Linked DNA regions of Daphnia pulex. The main gene of each other region encodes a partner of the protein of the gene in region 2 in a complex. Links are inferred from orthologs where the notes say so. Each region holds a gene or a part of one and is shown on either strand. Other genes may lie near its edges.

Region 1 (5,701 bases), on a different chromosome or scaffold from region 2:
TCTGAGAGACAGAGACACCTAGTGTATAACTGTTTTTCTTCTTTTTCCTTTTGTAATCAATCAGCGGTTAACTCAATTAAAAGTAGGTAAGTAGAACTAATGAATATTGTTCAAAATTAATGAGACTACATAAAAATAATTATCTGTTTGAAGTCGTTTAGTCAAGAATACAAGAATTGAAATCAATGGGTTCCAATGACTGATGAGTGATGGCTCTGGTGTTCTGTTCAGAACTAGAATAATGGAAGTAAAAATAGAACACATATCTTCAAAATATTCTTGCGTTTTCCATTATATTTTTACTCACTAAAATACATCATAAATATGATATGATAAGATTATTGACTATGGTTAATTTTGATCAATTTCTGATGGAAATTCTAGTTATTTTTGTAAAACTGGCAACATGCATCTCATTCAGCTTTTCTTCCTTGCCTATCTTCCACATTTCACTTCAGTACCGGTTTGACCCTTGGTAAGTTTCTCTTGCATTTTGTATCTAAATTCATCTCATGAAATCTCTGACATCTTGCCTATTTCCCATTATTTTCGCACTGTTTTGTTCATTGTACATTCTCTGGTCTATGTTATTCAGAAATTTCTTAAAACTTTTCTACTATAATACTTCGAAACATTTTCGACAGCATCGCGATGTGGACTCATAGCAAGTCTTTTTTTTTCATTTCTATAGTCCTTAAATCACCTTAGGAGTTCCTTGTAACCCACAATCAAGATGGGCAGGGAGGACAAGACATCATGGAAAGCTAGCTATTTCGTTAAACTAGTTGTAAGTTTCATTCTGTAGACTGTATTTTCATGTTCAAGTTGGCTTGTTTTGACTGTTTTCTTCTCTTTAGCAACTTCTGGATGAATATCCCAAGTGCTTCATTGTCGGAGCAGACAATGTCGGATCTAAGCAATTGCAGCAGATCCGTCGCTCATTGAGAGATCATGCCGTCGTTCTCATGGGCAAAAACACCATGATCCGCAAAGCCATTCGCGGACATCTGGAGAACAACCCAGCATTGGAGAAGTATTGACTTGTTTTTATTATTAGGGAATTAATTTTACAAATGTAATGATGAAAATTAGATATGATCTTTTGGTCAAACTTGGATCCAGAAATGGAAGAACCCTCCAAGTCAAGGGATTGGGGATTACAAATGCAAAGTTGCTGTCTGAATGAACTTTGCTTTTGACAATTACAGATTGTGTTGCTCTAGTTTTAATTGAAGTTTGATTTTGTTTTAGGCTTCTTCCTCACATCAGGGGAAATGTTGGCTTCGTCTTCACCAAGAACGATCTGGTGGACGTAAGGGACAGGTTGACTGAGAACCGAGTTCGAGCTCCCGCTCGTGCTGGTGCTTTGGCTCCTATGCCTGTTGACATCGAGCCCCAGAACACAGGTCTCGGACCTGAGAAGACTTCTTTCTTCCAGGCTTTGTCCATCCCAACCAAGATTTCCAAGGGTACAATTGAAATTATCGTAAGTGAATCACTAAATTCTCAACTAACAGATTGCGATGATGTTATTTTAAACTTTCGTTCTCCTGAATCGCCATAGAGTGGCGTGTTGAAATTTGTTTAACTGAGCTCTTTTTTACTAATGCTAGTTTATCTTAGGATTTCTGGAGATTAAATTTTATCTTTCTTTTATAGACGACCGTTAACGTCATCAAGGAGGGTGAGCGTGTTGATGCTTCAGCTGCAACCCTCTTGAATATGCTGAACATCTCTCCGTTTACCTACGGATTGGTGGTTCAACAAGTTTATGACTCTGGAACTGTATTCGAGCCGAAAATCTTGGATATCAAGCCTGAATCTCTTCGTACTCGATTCTTGGAGGTTAGTTGTGTTCTAAAATCTTACTTCACTGTTAAAATGATGAAAAACTTCGATTGACCCCGGAACAACCTTTAGACCCAGAAATGGGAGAACCCTCTAAAGGCCGGGGACAGTGATATAAAATGCCTTTACCGGCAGTCTGATTTAATTAAGACTCAATTATGAATAAGTTCGTAATAGAATAGTTGACTAATCGGTTACATGTTCATAGGGTGTTCGTAACGTGGCTAGCGTTTCTCTTCGCATTGGTTACCCAACTTTGGCCTCTGCCCCTCACTCGTTGATCAATGGATTCAAGAACTTGTTGGCTGTTGCTGCCGCAACCAACATCGAGTTCAAAGAAGCCATGACGGTTAAGGAGTTCTTGAAGGATCCCAGCAAGTTCGTTGCTGCCGCCGCTGCTGCTGCTCCTGCTGCTTCCGCCGCCCCGGCCGCCGCTGCTGCTGCTGCTCCCAAGAAGGAGGAAAAGAAAGAAGAATCCGAAGAAGAGGATGATGATATGGGTTTCGGTCTCTTCGACTAGACGCTCTTGTCAGATTTTGATCCAGTTCTGTTTACAGTTGATGAAATGTTATTACATGGTGAGCTTTGACTCATGTACCGCGGATACTTTTATGAACTGTAATAAACTGACGATTAACGGAATGATTCGTGCTTAACTTATTCTTTTGATATCCCAGTTTGTCTTGAACGATTCTTTCATTAATAAGGTTCAAGTTTCCTCTGCATTAATTGACATAATTTCTTGAAGCGGGTACGCGGCGTTTGGGTGGATGTAATAAATGAAAAGTAATTCGGACGCATACTCAATTGCACTTTGCATTAATTTATTCAAACCGCAAAATATAAGAATTTACAATATGTATTAAATATCTCATTCAATGTTATCATGAATTTTAACAACATCGGGCTCTTCTTCCAACTTACTATAGAGCTTAGAAACTAATGCTAAGTCTTCTTCGGATTCAATCTGAACTCTATTTCGTGGGATATAGAGCAAGTCAGATTCTATTATGCAATAGCCAAGCTGACTAACAGATCTCTTGACATTCAAAAAATCCCTTGGGCTGCATGTGAAGACAAACTTGCCATCTTCATCAGCTAGAAATTACCACAGAATTTCGGATAATTGCATAATGTATATATTTCACTTGAATGATACCTGTTACATCTTCCGCCCCGACGTTAATAGCATCGTCAAGTACTTGCTCAATAGTTTGGCCAATAGATAATGGTGACACCTTGATTAATCCTTGATGGTTAAACAGATTGTTTGAAACTCCTTCTGCCCATGATGCACTGACAAGAAAGGATTATTATTACTTATAAGTCAATTCATACACTACATTTACCAGTAATTTTAAACTTACTTGAATTTCCTGTTGATTGTATTGATGCCTTGTCTTGCTTTCAAATAACTAGGAGTGAGAACTTCTACCACGAAAAAGGTTCCCACTGGTCCTCTTACTTCCATAACATAAGGTTTTAAATCCTCAGTAGACTGATCAGCATTCTTTAGAATATGTTTCAACTTTTCAGAGGGCACATTATGATGCCTTGCTTGATCTACAAGATGACTAAGTTTTATATTTTGTTTTGGATCTGCCGAGCCATGTTCTGCAACAAAGAATTGTATGTTAATGCTAAACTTTGTTTCAACCAAAAATTAATACTCAGTATACAAACCTTTAATAGCTGCCTGATTGTTGTGATTGAAATTCAAGAAAATGTTATAGTTACACTAATAATGAGAACACAAATTCAAAATACCCTAATTTGACGAAAAATTCTTAGATGTAAAGTTGCTCTTTCAGCATCCTTTGCACCCTTCACATGTTTGATGTTGGCCCATTTACTATGCCCAGCCATGTTTCTTGAGAGCGGAATCAAAATACCCAAACGAATCTTTTGAAACATGATAAATTATTGTTAATATTTTTTGAATTATTATAAAAAGAAAACAAAATGCAGTTCCGGTAAATATCTTTTCGTCTGCTGTTTTAGTCTCGCTACAACGTCGACTGCTACGCTTTCAACTTCTTCTTTTCAAACGCAGATCACTTCCTGATATTCGATTTTCTTGAATAAAACAATGGAGACTGAAGAGAATAATCAGAATGTTAACCATGTAATGGCTTCATCGGGGGCGACAGGAAGTATATCAGTTTTATTGCATCCCTTGGTTGTGATGAATATATCTGAACATTGGACTCGAGTGAGAGCCCAGGAAGGGAAAGCACAGCAAGGTAATGTTTATGTGATGTACATTTTAACTCTTTATTTATTTTGTATACACAATTTCATAGTGATTGGTGCACTCATTGGAAAGCAGAAAGGAAGAAGCCTAGAAATCATGAATTCCTTTGAACTGGTTTTCACTGTTATTGAGAATGTGGTAATTGACCGAGATTACTACAACACAAAAGAGGAGCAATGTATGAAATTTCCCATTCTTTACTTATTAAATGTTCTTCATAATTTCTTTTTATCTTTAGTCAAGCAAGTGTTTAGTGATATGGATTTCCTTGGCTGGTATACCACTGGAGATGCTCCCAATGAATCTGACATTCATGTCCACAAACAAATATGTGAGATTAACGAAAGTCCTGTAATTTTGAAGCTTAATCCTTTTACACGAAATGCTGACCTCCCTGTAACAATGTATGAATCTGTAATTGATCTTGTCAATGGAGAGGCAACTATGCTCTTTGTTGAATTGACTTATACTTTGGCCACAGAAGAGGCAGAAAGAATTGGAGTTGATCATGTTGCTAGAATGGCTTCTGGTGATTCAGCTGAAAGTTCTCAAGGTAATTTTAATTCATTAACATTATCCTTATGAAACTGTCATGGACATACTTTTCTTTTTTAAACAGTGGCGGAACAATTGCAAGCCCAACACAACGCAGTAAAAATGCTTGCCAACCGAGTGCGATTGATATTAGAATACATTCGAGCCATGGAGAGAGGAGAGGTTCCAAAGTCTCACGAAGTCTTACGCGAAGCTAAATCTCTGACCCACAGGTTACCTGTCCTCAACTCTGAAATTTTCCAGGAGGAATATTACACCGTAATTATATCTTAACTCTTTGTTAATTGGGTTGATTTTTCTAATCTTGTTTTCTTTTGTCTTGTAGCAATACAATGATGTCTTGCTGCAAACCTATTTGGCATCCATTACCAAAGCATGTCACGACCTTCACCAGTTTGTCACCAAATTCAACATACTTTGCGACCGTCAAGGCATAATGGGTCGCCGAATGCGTGGTCTCTTTTTCTGAATTGTGAGCATTGTATAACATATTTAAGGAAACATGCTTTGTGCCCTACCTAATACATATTGGTTTTGATCAAGATTCCCATTTCAGCTACATTTCCATCCAAGGTGTGTATTGAAAATGTCAGCTTAATCATGGCAGTGTAATATCAAGTCCATATGGATTATTTTTCTTAAGTTTATTGGCCTCGTAATTTAAGGCGTCCTTTGTTAATACAGAGTGTTAGTATGAGATTAGCAGTCTGTTGGATTTGACAAATCCGGCAAATCCGATACACTGGAGATTAGCTTACATCGAAACTATGGGTCCTAGCCAAGATGTTGGTTATTTAAAGATTTACTCGACTTAACAATATCGTTCGTTGTTTGGCAGTTTTTTTGTAATTTTTAAAATTATTTAATGAATTCGTGATCCAATATAACTTAAATTAATTGTAGTTGAGCTCACAGAAAAAAGGAAATTTTGGCATCTAAAATTATTTGATTCAGATTCCAATCTTTTTTTCCAATTCATTTTGACAACACTGGAAAAATGTGTTATAATATTATGCCAAAATGTGTAGGTACAGATTTACAACG
Region 2 (8,356 bases):
ATGTAAAAACAGAAGCGCGAGAACACATTTTTGATCGCAGAATCAGCTTTCGGGTTGTCGTACAGTAGACGGTTGTCCGGAAATTTGTTCTGTAAATCAAATTTATAAAATTCGTCTTTGAGTGTACCTAGTAAATTCCAACTAATACGATTACCTCCAAATAAGAAACGATATCATCGATGTTGTCAATCACTTGGTCTCCATCTTCAAGGGACGGAACACGGCGCAATCCGCGTTGATGAAAAATTTCTTTGGAAAAAAGTTATACATTTATTTTTAGTCCATAAAAGTTTATGCGAATTTATCCCAACTACGGATCGTGTACCTGGTGGTTTAGCTAAATTTACGGTGACGGATCTGAAGTGGAAGGGATGCTGTAGAGATTTCGTCAATACTACCATGAAGGCTCTCTGTAATAATTGTAATAAAATCTTGTTAACGTAATCCAGATCCCCATTTAACTAAGAAATCAACGAACCTGACAAAATGGACAGGCTCCGTAGCGCTTTCCGTCTGCTCCCGCCTTGACGTACAACACCTAGCAACAAAAAATGACGTCATCGGAAAATAAAAAATGAAGCAAACTGGTAAAAACAGAACCCTTACCATCATTTGTTGTGAACTTTGAACATCTAAACTCATTTTTTCCGCTGCGCTCAAAATTTCAGATTTATTTACAAGGGAAGTCACTCTTGTATTTACCAAGTACGCAGACGTAAAGCACCCGTAAGGAAATATGAAATAGTCTGGCAGCTGCTGTACAGCCGCGATGAGAAACTCACACTTCTAAAACCCGAATAAGCCAAAATTTAACCAACAGTCTCCAGCAGGTTTATTTTTGGCCGCCCTAAACATGCACACTAACTAAATGAACCGTTTTCTAATATCAGCAGTCAGCACAATGTCGAAGTAGAACCAATAAAGAAGCAAAGATACGGGTGTTGAAGCTTGCGACACTGTCTGAAATTCGCAGTGGTGAACACAAGAAGAATGCTCGGCACCAAAAACACGAGACTAAAGGCTCTATCTGCCCATATACTAGCAGCTAACCGACGCTCAACATGAAATAAGCCCGAGGGACCACAACAAATGCTGTTTCCCAGTTCTTTTTTTATCTAAAAACTTTCACTCACTTCTCTTCCTAACCATCCATCCCCCCTCTCTCTTTTGCCATCCGCAACCCGCAAGTCTTTTTTCGGCTTTCAAGTCGGAATTGTTTTTTCACATGCTGTCATTTGTGCTGGTTTGACTCGACCTTTTTCATGTTATTGTTTATTGTACTTTTTTTGCTTTCAACCCACAGCCGAAATATGTGAATAATTAGTTCATCCGTTGAGGGGGGGGGGATGGGGTGCGGAAGGCGGAATTGACTGGTAAAGTGCGAGATTGAGGTGCGGATTCTCCGCACTTTACTTATTCTCCCCATCCGGACACTTTTGTAAAAGTTTGAATTTTTTAAAGAATTAATTATAGTATTTCTGACCTGATCTAAAGCAACCAAACCTAACCAGCTCTGTTTTAACTATTATCGCACAATCAAAAGTGACAATGTTGCTAAACTTACTAAACACAGCTTACTACAACATTAAGTCACATTATAAAATGAAACTAAAGTTATTTGTACTGCTGAATAGTGAATACGATTAATTTTTATTTTTGCGCCCTAGTAGTTTTGAACTATTTGAAATGCATTCCCCATTCCCATTGTTTCTGTTTCCGCGCAACCATATTTTAGAAGCTCCGAATAAGTTGCGCGGACTGCTTACAGACTACAGTGAATCTCATTCTTCTATACAATATACCTTGGCTATGCTATCAGACGTTGTAGTAGGTTATTAAAGAAGATCTTTTGGTAAATACAGCTTACATTTTATCATTTTTTTCCGCAAATGTAAGAATAACTGTCTCATTTCTGGTTCAATAGTCATTTATGCGAAAATTGTGGTGCCGAATATGACGACTGACACTAAACCTACCAGTTTCAACCCCCTTGAACAGTTTGTACTGTTAGCAAAGTCGGCTAAAGGGGCTGCAGCTGTTGAATTAGTAAAGCAGGCTTTAGAAGCTCCTGGCGTTTATGTGTTTGGTGAACTACTCGACATGCCCAATATTACAGAGGTGAATTTTTTTTATGTTTAATCGATGAAATTTTCTCATTTATGCATATTTTTTTCTAGCTTCAAACTGATCAATTTCAACCTTACTACAATTTGCTGAAATTATTTGCCTTTGGAACATACAGACAATATCTTGAAAACAGTAGTTCATTGCCCGAGCTAACACCATTTCAGCAGCAGAAACTGAGACACTTAACAATTGTGACATTATCTGAAACCAACAAAGTGAGTATTGCTATCATTGTTGCATGCAGTCATCAATGGCATCTTAAGTTAAAGTTCACAGCTACTGTAGTTTGTTTTTATTAATTGTTGTTTCAATTTTAGTGCATTCCATATGAAGTGTTGGTCCAACAACTTGATATGAAGAATCTCAGAGAACTTGAAGATCTTGTCATTGAAGCCATCTATGGAGGTTTGCCACCAAAATTATTAATTAATACATCTTGATTTTATCATCAACAATTATTCTTTCAGACGTTATTCATGGGAAATTAGACCAGCGTAACGGTCGTTTGGAAGTTGATTTTGCAATTGGTCGAGATGCTCAAGTCAAAGACATTGGCCGAATCATTCAAACTTTGAACGATTGGTGTGAAGCATGTGATGCAATTCTCGGAGCCGTTGAAACCCAAGTCATGAATGCAAATTGTGAAAAGGAAAAGCATATCAAGCATCGTGTCGCTATCGAGGAGGAAGTTTTGAATATTAAAAAAACCTTGAAATCCCAAGTATATCTAGCACTACAATTATTTGAAATTCTTAAAACTAAATCTGAATGCTTGAAACTTGACAGATCCAGGAAAGCGATGATATATCTCTTACTGGTGAAACGCGCAATGAAATGTTAGGTGACAAAGGTAAGAAGCTTGCCAAGGGAAAAGGATTGAAGACCAATGTTCCAAATAAGTTTTGGAATAAATCCTGAAAATTTGTAATTACTCCTTAATGTTTGTATTCACTTATCCCTGAAAGCATTGGACTTGATTCACCCATGGTATTGTTGTCTCAAAGAGTGTTCGCAATGAAATAAATAAAGAAAATTTCTTTAACTGCACTTGCTGACGAGCATTGATATTCATCATCCGCCAAGGCCAATGTCTATTTCTAGGAACTCGGAACTTGGCGGTTTTTCTTGTTCAAATTTTAGGTAGCTGTACAAGCATTTTAAATGCAGTAAAGAGATTCAGTCATGAAACCAAATAACAGTTGTGTACATATCTTCACGCTATTTTCAAATGGAAAACAAAAAAGCTTGGATTGCGCAACAATTTCGTCACAGTATTTTCATTTGTTCCAGACGCTGACTTTGAGCTTTGAAGTACCGTTCTGCCATGTAGGTAACTTTCTCGATGTATGTAATCCCTTTTGTGATCTCTTCCCCTATTCTGATGACCAGCAGACTTTTCTCTTCTAACCCTGTGATGTCACATGCTTTTTGGCTTAGAGTAGCGCAATTCACGCACGCATCGTTGAACGCAATCAATTTAGATGCGCTACCTACTATTCGTACTACTGGATGAGTACGGTAGAGGGCTCTCTCAGTTTTTAGATTTGTATTGCCGCTGTAGTCCCGAAGCACACGAAGGGTGCGTCCGTTTTGTAATCATCGAGTCATTTGATCACGTGATCTGTACAACAACCAGTTACCAACGAGATTTTTATTTCAGTAAGTTATCAAATTATCGGAGTTTGGTGTTTTGCGGTGCTGCCAAGTTGTGGTTTCTTCGTAAGATGACGTCTTTTTCAAACACAGCACTTTTTCCCCCTTAACCATATCAACAGATGCATATGCAGAATCCTAAATGAAACCTTAATAAAAAAAAATAACAAATGCGCGATTCTCTAAAGCCACTAAAATCTGTTGTCTTAATTTCGGTTAATCTAATGTTAGAGTATTTCAAATACTATTGGCGAGGGCTCAAATTAGTTTAAATAGGTTTAAAAAGTGTTTTCGCGCATTTAATAATTGTTTGAATAATTTTTGGCATCATATGCAATATGTTACAATAAAAGGAACGAGTTTGGGAATGAAACAATGAGTTACATTCAGCTAAAAATTTCCGGCAGCTATACTAACTCGACCGGACGACCCGTCTAATACAACATCAAATTTGGTCAAAAAACAAAAGAGAAAAACTACTTCGATCCGACTCTCCGAGTGAGAATATAGACGCACCCCCGGGGTGGTAAGAATTATAAAATGGCAACGCGGGTCACGCAGGAAGAATGAAAGATTGCCTTTGACGGTTTGAGGGTGGTGGCGGGTGATTGCATTTCGACAGAACACACAGAGGGTCGTACCGCTTTATGGTCTTGCAGCCTGATTTGACGTGGATGTAACATTAGCACTTTGAAAATAGTCATAGCATTCAGAGAGCTGTGCAGACGCTCGTCTAACGCCATATCGAGTCTCTCCATATATATATTTGCAGTTGTGTGGCGCAACCTTAAAAGCGACTTTTTGTAATTCTTCGAGGCCAAATGGGTGTTACTTAGAAACGACTTTTGCCCTTTGCAGTCGACTTGCAAGTACGTCAGTCGTCGGCGACTCGAGTTCCTTTTATGGGAAGAATACACTGCAATAGCCATACATAGACTTGGGGGCCATACAAATGCTGGCTGCTGGCTTGCTCACTTTTTCCTAAAACGAAGGAAATGGCAACACACCGACCATATTTGCAGATTCTTCCATCAGTTCCATGTTATTTTTTCTTTTCCCATTTTCTGATTTAATCTTTGAGTTTAGATTTTCTCAGTTCAAGAGCTTGGCGAATAATGTGCGAGTTGCAGAATGATCAACTGTTATTATTTTTTCATTTAAACATATTTGGAACTTTGAATTTTCTAGAGATAAAATATTTATTTTTACAATTTTTTGGTACGAATTCAAAAATCCTTGGATCTGAAATCAAGCCTATGCATAGCATCCATATATAGAAATTCAAAATATCGATATTCAAATCAAGTTGAAAATTGCGCTTCCATTCTCCCTTGATTCCAACAATACTCGTTGCTTCCCAGTCCACCGTGTATTACCGCCGTCAAAACGGCAAAAGCGGCATTTCAATACCTTATTTGGCGTAAGACTGGGGCTGTTAAGGGCGGAGCTTGAGACTGAGCCCGCTAGAGGAACGACGCTTGCACTGCTACCAACGGAGAGCAGACCACTCTCGAGTTGCAATCTGAACGGTTTTATTGAAAGTTTCGGTGATTTTTTTTTATCTGACAAATTCAGGCGATTCTGAATTTGAAATACAAACTCATGTGGATTTTTGCTTCGAAATTTGTGGCCTAAGAAACTGTTGTTTTTTTCCCGAATTCCATACGGATTACGAAGCATGGCCCACTTGATCTACAGCTCAACTTTCGGATCAATAAAAACTGTTTTTCACTAGATTGGTTGTTGAACATCAGTTTCATTACTGTGATCTAATGCTCCAAAGATTCTAAGTGCTTGAATTCCCAACCAAGAGTTATTTTCCAAGTGCGAGTAGAAGAAACAGTGAAAACAAGTGTTGGGAGCCACCAAGCCTGTTTGTGCCAGTTAATTTTTTCTCACTTGGAGAATTGAAAAGTAAAACACAATAAAAACAAAATGGTGGGTGGAAGTGAAGTCCAAAGTGGATCCGTTGAAGATATGGCATTGGAAGAACTGCAAGCATTAATACCATCTTTAACCATAAGCTCGATGCCTGGATTGTTGACATTATGTCCATCTAGAGCTGAAGTGTTGGTAGCGAAAGAGCCACTCCATCAACTGTACACAGTGGAAAGTCATCCTTTTGCCAGGTAAACCATGTTGGCTGTTTGTAAACTTTGTGTTTTATTTTGATGTGTGAGAAGTTGAGACAAATAATGCTGCTGGGGATCCCAGTGAATTTTTGCATTTTTTAAAACTAAAGTTAGTGTGACATGCGACCTAAAATCCCGTATACAGTTGCTCGTTAGAGTTTTGATGCTGCTAGCTTCAGCAACTTTCACGCTGGCTAGTTTATGCAACGTACGTATTTTGAAACACTTGACTGGGAAAGTTGCGTGAACGTTGGTGGAAAGTGGCAAAGTGAATGGATCTTTGACCAATGAGATAGTGTGTTGTTTACATATTGCACAACTGCGTCCATGATAAAAATCTCACCCGTCAGGTTTGTTCCGCTTGTTTAATGCGCAACGGTCGAAAACTCGTACGTTACCAAAAAAATAAAAACAATACAAATTATTGTTGACACAAGTGTTGAAATCAATCTTTTGAAAACCCACATCCTTTGGCGATCAGTATCAGATAACCTTTCGTTCGTAATCCTCCATTTTTATTCGCAGTTCACTTTCGTGATAAGAACATAAATTGGGAAGATGTCAGAGAAATAATTAGGTAGCCTTTTAAAATCATTTTTTCTTACACTCGTTAGTATTTCAGGAAGACATAATGAAGCAAGCTATTGACTTTTTGTTAAACGTTAACGTAACATTTTATGACTCTGTTTTATTCAAGAACTTTGCTCGAGAGTGAAATCGATATTTCAGCCTTTTCGTGGCCCTGGTATGTCGGCCACGTCTCGTGTTTGCTGTGTAAAATATTTTTTAACGTCGCCTTAAAAATGTCTGTAGAGCGTCTTGTGTAAATTTCGAATAGTTTCCTTTTTTTCAAGTCAATTTGTTTTTTATTTGAAGCTATGAAAGACGGATGATGTCAACCAGCGGTCAGTCTTATTTCGTCGTGTTGGCGAAAATACAAGATTGTACACGAACCAACTTTTTACGGAGACATTTTTCTTTCTTAGTAGGCTAGGGGTGAATGGGAAAGTGTATTGGCTCATATGGTTAGTCGTCATAGAAGCAACTTTCTGTTACACTAGCTGCACTTAATTGTGGGAAGATAGCTTTTTTTTTACTCAACACCTTGTGCTTGCTTAAGAAATCAGTATTGTTATGAATAGAGTTTCATTAGATATTGTATTTCTTGGTCTGGTGAATTTTTATCAAATACGTTGAGCATGGGAAATTTGTTGTCTAGACTCCAGTATTGAACAGGGAATCTGTTATTTATATCTTGAGAATTAAGAAATAATGTTATAGATTTTGGCTGGTGTTTTTAAAAATAGAAAGTGGAATAGATTTCTGAAATTGCTGTGGAGCTTGACCGAAAATTATGATTCTCTTCTTATTATAACTGGAGAAACATGATTGAGTTGCCGTCTATACGCAGCTGTAAGGGTGTGACTAGAGATTCAGGAAAACTTTTATTTGGGTCAGACATCTTACAACAGCCCAAAGCTTCATATCTCGTTTGAGTCGTAATGCAACTCCTCTTCCAGTTTCTTGTCTGCAATTTCTTAAACAAAATGAAATCGATAAATGCATTGGAATGCAAGGGTGACTAACTAAAATTTTATTTCTAGTCCTTCCGTCATAGTTTTTCTAGTTGTTCAATTCGTTATGTTGTGGAACTGCCAACTCATCATGAATGTCTAGCAATTAGATTTATGTGGTGTTGATTTAAATGTAGATTTGTCCACGTAACATTTTAGTTTGAATCATCATTCCTTGAGTTGTTTTTTGTCTTTTTTTGGCTAGAGAAATGTTGAGAATGGGAATAAGAGTGGCTCGACCAAGTCAAACGTGTATCATCTGCGCATTTGAACGTTTTCAGTTTCCTAATATAGTCAAGTCTCGAGTGTATCTCGATTCCCCTCTACCTTTCCGTCTTCATTGCTGTGTCTAGTTTGGCCATGTAGTCTTGGCCAAGTGGAAAACACAGTGGACATTCCAATGTCCCTTTGGCGACACGATGAGCAGGATCTACCGATTTGGTAACCCGTCACCGATTCCCCATCGAAAAAACAAAGCTAGCGAGCCTTAATGCGTGAAGTGGAGCGGCACATCTGTGCACGCCGATTCCGTCCTTGCTGACAGCTGATTGGCTATTGTGGCACTTCGGTCGGTCAGTGAGACCCCCCCCCCCTCCCCACTTCTTTTTCCTCTCTTCACTCTTCTGTCTTTCTCTTTATATTCTCCTTCGTTCTTTCGTTATCAGGTTTCTTTGTTAAACTAGGCAACATTTGGTTTGTCATCGTCCAAGCCAACTCAACCTTGTCCAAGGACGTTTGACGATTCTTTGCAGTTGAAATTGTCTGCAGCTGATATGGTCACGTGTACTTTCTTTATTCGTTTATCAAATTTCCTTCTTACGCTCGTTTTTCTCAACATGGAAAAACCATAATTTCGGTGATTCGTTCTAT

Evidence for each region. The genes of interacting proteins can lie anywhere in the genome.
Region 1: COP9 signalosome complex subunit 7b-like (region 2) and COP9 signalosome complex subunit 6-like share a complex: the UniProt entries of both Drosophila melanogaster proteins name them as parts of the CSN complex. The link is inferred for Daphnia pulex from reciprocal best matches to the Drosophila melanogaster genes CSN7 and CSN6.

What each region holds. Positions count from the first base shown.
Region 1 is NC_060019.1:12,301,322-12,307,022, forward strand, and holds COP9 signalosome complex subunit 6-like, read left to right. Parts: upstream 1-3,849; 5' UTR 3,850-3,937; coding exon 3,938-4,091; intron 4,092-4,151; coding exon 4,152-4,280; intron 4,281-4,340; coding exon 4,341-4,655; intron 4,656-4,721; coding exon 4,722-4,915; intron 4,916-4,982; coding exon 4,983-5,126; 3' UTR 5,127-5,201; downstream 5,202-5,701. Other genes in the region: 60S acidic ribosomal protein P0-like, read left to right, coding at 734-787, 858-1,033, 1,252-1,486, 1,660-1,845, 2,057-2,368; probable transcriptional regulatory protein FMG_0893, read right to left, coding at 2,720-2,946, 3,008-3,144, 3,216-3,462, 3,532-3,544, 3,616-3,762. UniProt on the Drosophila melanogaster protein: Component of the COP9 signalosome complex (CSN), a complex involved in various cellular and developmental processes.
Region 2 is NC_060017.1:4,235,132-4,243,487, forward strand, and holds COP9 signalosome complex subunit 7b-like, read left to right. Parts: upstream 1-1,565; 5' UTR 1,566-1,852; intron 1,853-1,924; 5' UTR 1,925-1,953; coding exon 1,954-2,118; intron 2,119-2,177; coding exon 2,178-2,342; intron 2,343-2,444; coding exon 2,445-2,532; intron 2,533-2,594; coding exon 2,595-2,848; intron 2,849-2,913; coding exon 2,914-3,045; 3' UTR 3,046-3,174; downstream 3,175-8,356. Other genes in the region: chloride intracellular channel exl-1-like, read right to left, coding at 1-89, 155-249, 326-410, 479-538, 607-642; serine/threonine-protein kinase 17B-like, read left to right, coding at 5,716-5,909. UniProt on the Drosophila melanogaster protein: Component of the COP9 signalosome complex (CSN), a complex involved in various cellular and developmental processes.